3 linked regions of the Coturnix japonica genome follow. The protein of the gene in region 1 interacts with the protein of each later gene in a pairwise test. Links are inferred from orthologs where the notes say so. Each region holds a gene or a part of one and is shown on either strand. Other genes may lie near its edges.

The links.
Region 2: the proteins of ERBB2 (region 1) and FGFR4 interact in a protein complementation assay, tested with the Homo sapiens proteins (2 studies listed by BioGRID, with this or other methods). The link is inferred for Coturnix japonica from reciprocal best matches to the Homo sapiens genes ERBB2 and FGFR4.
Region 3: the proteins of ERBB2 (region 1) and PDGFRA interact in a protein complementation assay, tested with the Homo sapiens proteins (2 studies listed by BioGRID, with this or other methods). The link is inferred for Coturnix japonica from reciprocal best matches to the Homo sapiens genes ERBB2 and PDGFRA.

Annotation. Positions count from the first base shown.
Region 1 is NC_029542.1:3,928,460-3,932,105, reverse strand, and holds the end of ERBB2 (receptor tyrosine-protein kinase erbB-2), read right to left. Parts: coding exon 3,607-3,646; intron 3,522-3,606; coding exon 3,383-3,521; intron 3,314-3,382; coding exon 3,191-3,313; intron 3,117-3,190; coding exon 3,018-3,116; intron 2,948-3,017; coding exon 2,762-2,947; intron 2,694-2,761; coding exon 2,538-2,693; intron 2,464-2,537; coding exon 2,388-2,463; intron 2,315-2,387; coding exon 2,168-2,314; intron 2,094-2,167; coding exon 1,996-2,093; intron 1,923-1,995; coding exon 1,752-1,922; intron 1,628-1,751; coding exon 1,372-1,627; intron 1,300-1,371; coding exon 956-1,299; 3' UTR 420-955; downstream 1-419. UniProt on the Homo sapiens protein: Protein tyrosine kinase that is part of several cell surface receptor complexes, but that apparently needs a coreceptor for ligand binding. Essential component of a neuregulin-receptor complex, although neuregulins do not interact with it alone.
Region 2 is NC_029528.1:12,077,168-12,080,848, forward strand, and holds the start of FGFR4 (fibroblast growth factor receptor 4), read right to left. Parts: upstream 2,825-3,681; 5' UTR 2,810-2,824; coding exon 2,269-2,809; intron 2,177-2,268; coding exon 2,087-2,176; intron 1,999-2,086; coding exon 1,832-1,998; intron 1,749-1,831; coding exon 1,625-1,748; intron 1,424-1,624; coding exon 1,233-1,423; intron 1,154-1,232; coding exon 1,015-1,153; intron 933-1,014; coding exon 739-932; intron 579-738; coding exon 433-578; intron 331-432; coding exon 209-330; intron 126-208; coding exon 15-125; intron 1-14. UniProt on the Homo sapiens protein: Tyrosine-protein kinase that acts as a cell-surface receptor for fibroblast growth factors and plays a role in the regulation of cell proliferation, differentiation and migration, and in regulation of lipid metabolism, bile acid biosynthesis, glucose uptake, vitamin D metabolism and phosphate homeostasis.
Region 3 is NC_029519.1:59,024,526-59,028,171, forward strand, and holds part of PDGFRA (platelet-derived growth factor receptor alpha), read right to left. Parts: intron 3,587-3,646; coding exon 3,397-3,586; intron 2,884-3,396; coding exon 2,768-2,883; intron 2,275-2,767; coding exon 2,148-2,274; intron 1,268-2,147; coding exon 1,074-1,267; intron 1-1,073. UniProt on the Homo sapiens protein: Tyrosine-protein kinase that acts as a cell-surface receptor for PDGFA, PDGFB and PDGFC and plays an essential role in the regulation of embryonic development, cell proliferation, survival and chemotaxis.

The sequences.
Region 1 (3,646 bases):
CGAGGGCAGCAGGGACTGGCTGGTTATAGGAACCCCTGCTTGGCTCCATCCCCACAGCCCCAGGGTTCATTGAACAGCCACGAGCTTCCCCTGCTGCCCCGTTCCCAGGCTCCCGGCTCTCCCCCTCCCCACATCATGACTCTGCCCTTGGGGCAGCTGAGCCCAGGGCAGCGTGGCAGAATGGTGCCCATCCCCTATTGGTGCCCATCCCCTATTTATGATGTACTGTCTGTGGGCCCAGCGCTGAATAAAGGATGGAGGTAAACGTGGCTCCTCTTCCCCTGTGTCCCTGCAGAGCATGGGGGGGATCCAGGCAATGAAAGCAGGATTAGGGCAGCTGCCCCATTCTTGGCTATCAGGGCTTTCCCTGCAGTGAGAGCAGCAGATGGAGGAGATGGGAGCAAACCACGCAGACAAAGTGGAGTAGAAAAAAAACCATCTACAATGATGAAATATACATCCAGGTGACACTGTCAGCTTAACGGGAACCCAGCAGGAGCCCAGGCAGCCCCGTGTCCACCTGCTCAGTGCAAGTCAATGTGTCCAGCGCTGCTGGGCGCCGGTGGGGAGGGGGCTGGGGGCACAGGGGTGGTGGGGGGCTCTGGGACAGCAGCAGCGTGGTCCAGGTGTATCCAGGGTGTATACAGGTGTATATAGGTGTATGGTGATGGGGAGCAGGGTGATGGGGCTCCCGGTCCTGTTGATGCTGCTCTTCTTCCTCCAGGAACCGTGTGGGGTTGGAGCATCCATCTCAGTGGGGCTTTGGGGCTCCTTTTGGGGGTCCTCTGTGCCCCCCCCTGTGCTGCTGCGCCGTCTCACAGTGCTCTATGCTCTCCTGCAGTATAGGGCACCCCCATGATTGGGGACAGTCCTGCCCCCACATCCATCGCCGGCCTCGTGCCGTCCCTCCCCAAGCTGCCTCGGTGAAAGGGGGGGGTCCGTATGTGGCCCTGCCCTACACAGCCACGTCCTCAGGCTCAGCCAAACCCAGGTACTCCGGGTTCTCAGCTGCTGGCGTGGAGCTGGGCCCACCCTCAGGGCTCCCAGCTTTGGGGGGGTCCTGGTTCCAGTAGTAGGGGTTGTCGAAGGCCTGGCTGAAGGCTGTGGGGACCGGCAGCCCCGGGGGGGCCAGGTACTCGGGGTTCTCCACGGCGTGGCCAAAGGGCCCCAGGAAGGGATGCTTGGTGTCCTTGATGAGCCCGTTCTTGCCTTGGTGGCCCTTGGGCTTGTCTGGTGGGGATGGTGGTGCACAGGGGAGCCGGGGGGGTGACGGCAGCTCCCCAGCCTGATTCACGTACTCTGCAGGGAAAAGGGATGTCAGCAGCCAAACAGGGTCCTTGCCCCCCTCCCCAGGGTCCTATATTGCCCTACCTGGCATAGTGGTATGTGGGGCTGGGGTGGTGAAGCCCTCAGGGTCCAGACCTTCACTCTCATCCCCCGGCAGCGCGGTGGGGTCCTCACTGTACCGTGTGGCTGGGGGGCTCGGCAGGGCTCCCTTGGCCCCAACATCCACCTCCAGAGCCTCCGACACGGGGCACTCTGACCCCTCCACCAGGTTCTGCGGTGGGAAGGGGAAGGCGGCTGATTCCTCCCCCTCTGTCGTGTCAGCTGGGGTCTCTGCTGTGCTCTGAGGAGGCAAAGGGCACGGAGTCGGGCACGGTGCTGTGGGGTCTATAGGGTCTGTGGGTGGCATTAGAGAACTTGCACCCTGTGCGCCCTGCAGCAGCACGATGCCCCAGGTCAGCCCTTACCCGCGTGGAGGAGATACGGCTGCGGTACGCGGTGGAGGTCTCAGCACTGAAGAAGCCCTGGTGAGGGACCAGGTATTCCTCAGCATCCACCAGGTCGTCCATGTCCTCCTCCTCCAGCAGCGCCCGGTAGAAGGTGCTGTCCATGTTGCTGGGCAGCCCGATCATGTCGTTCTGGGGGTCAGGGGGGGCTGTCAGTGCCCGTTGGGGCAATGCTGAAGGCGAGACCCCCCTGAGACCCCATTACCTGGATGACCACAAAGCGCTGGGGGTCGCGGGCCATGCGGGAGAACTCGGTGACCAGCTCACGGAACTTGGGCCGGCACTCGGAGTCGATCATCCAGCCTGGGGCAGAGCCGAGCACCGTGAGGGCGGCGTTGGGGTCCTGGCCCCCACGTCCCCATGTCCCCCCCACTCACATTTCACCATGATCATATAGACATCGATGGTACAGATGGGCGGCTGCGGCAGCCGCTCGCCTTTCTCCAGCAGGTCGGGGATCTCTCGTGCCGGGATCCCATCGTAAGGTTTCGCCCCGAAGGTCATCAGCTCCCACACGGTGACACCTGAGGACATGGGGATGTGGGGTAAGTGCTGGTTTGGGACCCCCTGCCCCCCACAGCCACCATAGGGACGCACCGTAGCTCCAGACATCGCTCTGGTGGGTGAAGCGCCGGCGCAGGATGGACTCCAACGCCATCCACTTGATGGGGACCTGGGTGGGTGGGAGGAGTGAGCGGGACCCTCAGGGGACACCGCGCTCCCTGTTGCCCCGTCCCCATGTCCCACCTTGCCCCCATCTGCGTGGTACTCGGTCTCATCGATATCCAGCAGCCGTGCCAGCCCGAAGTCGGTGATTTTGACATGGTTGGGGCTCTTGACCAGGACGTTGCGAGCAGCCAGGTCACGGTGCACCAGCCTCACCTCCTCCAGGTAGCTCATCCCCTGGGCAGCAGGCGTTAAGCCCCACATCTACATCCCCCCCACAGCCCCTCAGCAGCCCCCTCTCTTACCTTGGCGATCTGCACACACCAGTTGAGCAGGTCCTGGGATCCGATGCGGTCTTTGTTCTCCCTCACATAGTCCAACAAGCAGCCGTAGGGCATCAGCTGCGTCACCAGCTGCACCGTGGAGGTCAGGCAGATGCCCAGCAGCCTCGACACGTAGGGGCTGCCCACCCCGGCCATCACATAGGCTTCCTGCAGGCAGCACAGATAGGTCAGGTTGGCACCGACTCCCCAGCCCCGTGCCCACCTCCCCTGCACTCACATCCAGGATCTCCTTGTTGGCTTTGGGTGATGTGTTCTCCCGCAACACCTTGATGGCCACCGGGATCTTCACGCTCTCCCCATCGGGGATCCAGATGCCCTATGGGGGGTGGGGGGGCGGTGAGTGAGGACACAGATGGTGCCATCCCACTGACTGTGCCTCCCACCCCTCACCTTATAGACAGTGCCGAAAGCGCCGGAGCCCAAAACCTTCACTTTCTTCAGCTCCGTCTCCTTGAGGATGCGCATCTGTGCTTGGTTGGGGAGGGCCCCGCTGGGCGTCAGCGGCTCCACCAGCTGCGAGGGACAAGTGGGTGAGGAGGGACAACACTCTGAGCCCCCCCCAGGGTCATCCAGCCCCCCCACCTCAGTCTCCTGCAGCAGCCGCCTCATGGTGTGTTTCCTCTCCTGCTGCCGCCGGCGCTTGACGCAGACGACGGTGATGAGCAGAAGGACGACGACCAGCAGAGCCCCCACCACACCAGCAATGATGGATGTCACCTGGCTGCAGGACGGGAGGTGACAGGGGATGTGGGGATGGGGTCACCCCCTGATGCTCCCCTATGGGAGGGGGGTACCCACGGTGGTACCTTGGCTTCTGGTCCACGGGGCAGCCGTCCTCATCCCTGA
Region 2 (3,681 bases), on another chromosome or scaffold:
CCTGAGCCCCTCACCGTCCTGCGTGCACACTCCTAGCAAATTGATGATGTTCTTGTGCTTGTCCATCAGCTTCATCATCTCCATCTCGGAGATGAGGTCAGCCAGGTCTTTGTCAGTGGCGTTGTCTGTTGACAGAGGGCCGTGTCACTGATGCTGGGGTGGCACCAATGCAGCAGCCATGCCCAGGACGCCACAGCACGACTGATACCTTTGAGCATTTTGACAGCCACGGTGACAGCTCGGTCCGGCCACTGCCTGTCGATGCCGTACGCCTCCGCCCGCACCACCTGCCCAAAGCAGCCCTCGCCCAGGGGCTTCCCCAGCACCAACCTGCCAGGGGAGGCAGAGCTGTGAGCACACAGTGGGGCTGACCCTGCTCCAAGCCCATGGGGCACAGTGCCCCGGCACTGCCAGCCCTCTCCAGCTCCTTACTTTTCTCGAGGGAATTCCCACTTGGAATCCAGGGGCAGGTCCATCTCCACGACGCCCGCCAGCATGGGGGCACAGCTGGAGGAGAGGCGGGTGACACGCATCAGCGACGTGCTGGACTTCCCTGATGAGCTGGAGTCCAGGGAGAACTGCGGGGACAGCACAGCAGCCCTCAGACACCTGGGAGTCACACTGAGACCTGGTGCTGCTGAGAGCAATGGGGTGAGGGCAGCCCCAAGGACAAGCAACAGGGACAGGTGGCAGCAGCAGGGCCAGTTGTCACCAAGGTGCCCCCAGCTCAGCCCTCACCTGTCGGATGAGTGGGAATTTGGAGAGCTTGTGCACTGCCATGGGCTCCAGGGGCTGCTTGCTCGACTGTGTCTGCATGCGGCACAGCACCACGATGATGAGGGCCATGGCCACAGCCAGCGAGCCCGACGTGTAGATGATGATGTCGGTGTACTTGGCCTCGGAGGTCTCAGCTTCATGCACCAGCTCTTCTTCTAGAAGGAGAGCACACGTCAGTCCACACCACGGTCCCCATGCTGCTTTCAGCCCTAACCCCAGCTCTAACCTCAGCCCTACCTGGGAGCACAGTGAGCCACGCTGACTGGTAGGAGAGGCCGATGGAGTTCCCTGCCAGGCAGGTGTACTCGCCTGCGTCCTCCATGGTGACATTGCGCAGGTACAGCACCTCCACCTCGGAGCTGTTGATATCTGCGGTCTGTGGGCAGAACGAGGGACCGTGAGCATCCCTGTGTGGGGACAAGCTCCATGTGACCCTGCCACCCCCCAGCTGCTACCTTGAGCACTTGCACGTAGGGCACCCCGTCAGGGCCATAGCTGCTGCCGTTCACCTCAATGTGCTTCAGCCACTGGATATGGGGCTGGGCATCGCTGTACACCTTGCAGAAGAACTCCACGTCGCTGCCCACCAGGGCAGTGGTGTTGGCAGGCAGCCCCGCCTGCAGGATGGGCCGGTGCGGGGACCTCTCTGCACACAGGGCATAGGGGCAAAGTCACACACAGTACCCAGGGGGGTCCCAGCCCTACCTCCCTCAGGTGCTGGGACACGAGGGCTGCTCAAGCAGAGCAGATGAGGATGGGCTCCTCTGCCTTCATCCCCTGCAGCCCATCCCCTCTCGCCAGCACAGTGGCAGCAGGGACCCCCCTGGCACCACCTGCGGACCCTCACCCAGCACATCCAGCAGGTAGCTGTAGCGGATGCTGCCGAACCTGTTCTCCACCAGACAGGTGTAGTTGCCACGGTCCGAGGGCACCACGCTCTCCATCACCAGGCTCCAGTGCTGGTGCCGGAGCTGCGACGGGGAGCAACAGGTTCAGGGGGCTGCAGCTGAGCCAGACACCAGGAGGAGAGGATGACATGGGGGGGGGCCCTTACCCGTATGCCCCCGATGCGGTGCTCCCCCCGGAACTCACGTCCATTCTTGAACCAGCGGATGCTGGGGCTGGGGCTGCCCGAGGCCGGGCAGCGGAACTTGACGGTGTTCCCCGCAGGGACAGCATACAGCTTCTTGTCCATGCGGTGAGGGTGAGTCCAGTACGGTGCTGGGGAGAGACGGGGGGCATCGTGGGATGTGGCTTATGGCCTCGGGTGGGGGCTGCCCCCAGTCGCTCCCCCCATGACAGCACTCACCTCTGTGCACATAGACCGGCTCCTCGCTGCGGTCTCCGTGGGGACCATCCCCATCACTGTCTTCATCGTCATCACCCGATGCCAGCGAGTCTGCAAAGGAAAGCGGGTCACGAGGGGTGCCCCTGTCTTCAGGATGGGGTAAATCAGGCTGTGCTCCCCTCAGTGCTGCTCCGGGCCCTCACCCACTACAGAGATGGTGAAGTTGTGCAGGACTTCCCCGGTGCCCCGCGCCCGACACACACACAGCCCCGAGTCCTCGTAGGCGACCTCAGAGATCTGCACTGTGCCCGGCTGGAGGCGGACGCGGGGCCCCGGGAGCAGCGGCCGCGACTCCTTGTACCAGACCACAGTGGCACCGCTGCGGTTAGCGTTGCAGTGCAGCTTCAGAGCATTGCCCGGCTCCAACAGGAGCTGCTGCTCCTCCGACTCCAGCAGCGGGCTCTCAATCAGCTCTGCAGCCCGGGAGAGACGCGCTGAGCGCCGCGCACAGCGCCCCGGACAGCAGGAACCCACCGCGCTTCTCGGCGTGCACAGCGCACACACACACACACACACACACACACACACACACACACACACACGTCCTGGCCAGAGACGCGTGTACAAGGGCTGGACTCTGCCCCCGGGCGCTGGGACAAGGCTTCCCCCGCGACCGCCTGGCACTGCCGCGTTCCCGGCCAAGGCCACCCACGCCACGGTCCTTCCAGAGGGGTCTGCGCCCATTCTGCCGTACTGGGACGGGAAGGAACCGGGAGCGATCAGCGTCAAAGTTCCACCACCACCTCCGGCTCCCCGCGGACCCGGCCCACGCTGGTAAAGCGGCTCCAAAGCAAATATTCAGCTCTGTACTAAACTCAAGAGCCGCTCGGAGCAAAACCACCGCTGGGACAAACCAAAGCAGCGACGGTTCGGCCGCTCCGGGACCCGCAGCCCCCGCCCTGTCCGCGTGTTCCACGCGCCGCCGCCGCGCCCCGAGCCCCGCAGCTGTCAGCACCGCGTGCGCCCCACCGCACCGCACCGGCACCGCCCGCAGCACCCAGCCCAGCCCGCAGCCGGGCTGCCGATGCTCGAAAGCACGAGAAGCGGGGCCGGGAAAAACCAGCACCGGAGCCGCCTTCACCCCCCCAGCCGTCCCGTCCGTACCTGGCTCCATCTCCCCGCGGTGCGAAGCGGCCGGGCCGACCGCCAGCAGCAGCCCCGCCAGGACGAGCCAGAGCGGCAGCATCTTCCGGGCCTCCCGTGGGAAGCGGCACCGCGGCCAGGAGCTGCGGCGCCCCGCGACCGTCGGGCAGCGCCGGCTGCGCGGAGCCCCGACGGCGCGGCTGCTCCGGCTGCTCCGGCCCCGCACCGGCCTCGTCGGGGAGGGCCCGGGCAAAGTCCTGCGGGGCCGGGCGGGCTCCGCTCAGCGCCGCGGCCCCATGGCGGCCCCGACTCTCGCCCCGCCGCGCTGTGCCGAGGGCGCGGGCACTTTGTAGGGCGGCGCTCGGGTTACGCGGCGCCGCGGGCGGCCTCGCCGGGGGCGGCCCCGGCCCCGCCCGCTGCCCGGGACCACGTCACGCGCACGAGGCGCGTTCACGTCACTCGCGTAACGTCAC
Region 3 (3,646 bases), on another chromosome or scaffold:
CAGGGACCTGGGTGCACTTGGTGGGTATGTCAGCAGTGATGGGGATGTTGCATGTGTACCACATAGGGCATTTGCATGCTGGGGGAGTGCAAGTCTAATAATTTTATGTATCTATATTAGATTATATGTTGCAGTGTTACGTGTATTTAGTTATTATAGTTGTACATTTGTTATGTACATGCAATTTCTACTATTTAGGCTATCATAGTTTTACATACGTGGCATATATTGTATATATATCTACCCATGATCGTACTAATGTTAGAAAGGGGTGGAATGTCCCATGGTTTTGTATTTGCTATCAGTATTCCACATCATAACATCATGTAAGCATGGCATACTCTATTGAATGTGCAGTCCGGCACAGAAGAAGTCCTAACATAATCCCAGAGAACAACAGGGGTAATGATAAGTCACGGAACCAGGACGCTATATAATCTTGTTCCCGAGGCTGGAGTGCCCTTCTTCTCTCGAACTTCTCGGAGAAGTGGGAAGCGTTCCAGAGCGTGTACGCCTAGAGTTCATTAGTAGGCCTCTCAGTTTTTCGGGACTCTCTCTCTCTCTGTTTCGTTCGATTCGTTAGCCTGCAATTATATTATATGTGTTATGTTGTATTTCGATATCATACTTAGTAAAATAGTTTTTCCTCCTTAGATTGCCAACTGTTTTTTATCCCATTCCCCTTTTCCCCCTCCTTTCTGGGCGCCGGGGGGGGAGGGGGGGGGGGCACAGGGTGGCTTCCCCTGTCACGGGCATAGGTAAATCTAAGTAACTCGTGACAGTTGGTAACTGTAAAGCCTCTCTGAGACCAGAGCTACACTGTCTACTTTGTTTAGAAGAACATCCCATGACCAATCATAATGAAATGATAAAACAAATCAGATACCCCATAAAGACCTGTAAAATGCTTCATTCTCAGTTGTTCCTTGGTGGATAAAATCCATTTTCATTTATTCTTATTTGCTGCAGATTATGTTTTTATCTACTAAGCTTTCTTATAGACTAAAATGAGGTATGTTAACGAGAGGTTAAGATGGCTTCTGTAATCTCATAGAAGGACAAAGCAAACTCACTGGGAGCCACAAGTTTCAGTTCCCGAGTAACAGCGCCAAGGTCGTTTCTTGCTACACATCTGACAGCCAGGGTTTCCTCTACCTTCTGGAAGGTCACCTGGCTTTCCACCATATTCTTCTCATCCAAGTGGGCTTCCATGTGTATATCAGAGACGTTGCTAGTCAGAAGAGTCCAGGAAGTGTCATTGCTGCATCTGCAGAGAGTGACAGTGGAAATACATGTTGGATGTAGGTGTAGATAAAAAGTCACCACAGTGGGAATCATCTTTTCCTATGCCTTTCTTCTGTCAATTATATTTTTAAAGAAATGCTTAAGACCACCTCTGTGAAAAGCCTGCATCATTCATATCCTGTAGAGTTATAGCAGTGGATCTCTACTTCTGCCTGAATCCTTCATGCCATACAAGGCTTCCTGGGGCAGGGCTAAGAGGACAACTGTCCCAGGTGGCAGGAGGAGATTTTAGTGCAGTGGGAGTGGAGCACAGCTGGGAGGTCCCAGGGCTCCTAGCCTCCCTTCATGTTTAGTCTCCTTTTCCTTGGATCCTTACAGATTCCTTTAGTCTCCTTTTCCTTGAATCCTTACAGATTCCCAGGGAGAGCTCAGCAGTTCCCAGCAGCTACAGAAGAAAACAGTCTAGAACTAGCAAAACCAGGAATGATTACTACATGTGTCTAGAAGTCTTAGAAGGTGAAAATTATAATCTGGGGAGAAACTGTCCAAGTGAAAATTTAGAAGCACACAAGAGTATTAATGAGGCAACAGGGCTACCTGTGAAGTAGCAGGAGTCCTCAGAATGGAAAGACAGTTAACTTTAAGATCTACTACATTCAATTATTGAACACAGAACTTTTATCAAAGTTAAATGGATGCATTGTGTATTCTTCTATAGGACATTAACACTAGGAAGGGTACTGAAAACCTCTCAAAATATAAGCAGTGTGTCTCCAAAAAGACATCAGAATTATGGCTTACTGGCTCTTGATGAAGAAAACACGGTATGATAACTAATAATGTTAAGCTAGCCAAGAACAACGGAGTCATGTTTTAGATAACAAAGTTCCTCTTCTTCTTACTTTTTAATGTCCTTGCAAACCAACCATTCCACATCAGGAAGCGGGGTCCCTTCAGCCAAGCACCTCACTGTCTGCCTGCCAGTGGAGCCCTGGTGGTCATCCACAAGGTCTAAGATCAAGGCTGGAACTGGAAAGGAGTCAAGAATTTGTTAAAACGTTCAACAGGGTCTAAAAGAGCAGCCTGAAATCTCAAACAAAGCAGGGCAGGTACTGTTTGTCTGACAGCTTAGTGGCATCTAGAGCCACTTGGCCAGGAGGTCCCTGTCTGCTGAAGAACACAGGGTATCACAAGCTAGAGCGATGAAAAGAAAGTGCTGCGTGTATGCCACGTCCTCATGTCATGCTAAATGAGTTATCGTTCCCGCTGTCAGCTGGAATAACTTAGACAGGAGGATAAAGTTTCTTTCTGGCACAAGGCCAGTGCAGAAGTCAAAGCCAGGATTACAGTATGAGAGCTACGAGGACTCAGCAGACATGCACTGCTCCAGACACCCCAGTTCACACTTCTCTTATCTCTATAGCCCAGGCAATCCAGTATTCATTGTTGACCCATACATAAGTGGATCAAATTCATGCTGTGGCCCATCAGTTCTGGTAAGGAAGGCTTTTGAAGCCATTACCTTGTATTAGCAAGGAGAAGGTGTATCTCTTAACCTCATCTTCATTTTCAGCAACCAAAGTATAGTACCCACTGTCTTCTTCCTTGGCCCGGATCAATTTTAGTACACTTTGAAACCTGCAGAAATGAGAGTTTTGGTTTATATTTTTGTATTTTTACATTTTGTTTGTATGTTGAAAGCAGGCATAAAAAATCTACTTCAATGCAACATATAATCTGGACACACGGATATTATAATGTGCTGACACTCAGCATTTCTGGCATGCCTTCGCACTAAAATCATTGTTCAAACAGTAAATAGTCACCAAAACACAACCAAGAAAGAAGTGGGCATTATTATATCCTGCTTGGCTCCAACGAAGACTGCGATGTTTCTAGAAATAGCTAAAGATAATTAGAGAGAAGATTTCTTGGAGGGACTGAAGAGGGTTAGTACCTAGAATCCAAGATTTGTATGGTTTAGAGATGTTAATGTTATTAAGGCATCACCCTTTAGAGCAGAAAACATAGGATTTTTAAATGTTATTGAGGAAGAACTGCAGTGGAAAGAGAAAGCAGAAGTTCTCAGGTTTCTAGGGGAGAAACACTTGAGTCATCGTGGCAAAGTAAGATTCATAAGAGTATTTTTACCGTGTTTCCTGGACTCTGTTTGAACTAGTAACAATCTCAGTAAGGTTTTCAATCAGAGTCACATTATCCTTCAACCAGTACATTTTTGGAGCGGGGTACGCCTGCACATCGACGACAAAATTTTTGACTTCATGTAGATTGACAGCTTCCAAAGGGCTAAACTGAGGCTCTAGATGAATGAACCCTTTGTCTGTAAATGAAAAAGCCACGCATGAACAATGCTGTGCAGCATTTTTCAAGAAGAGTGTTT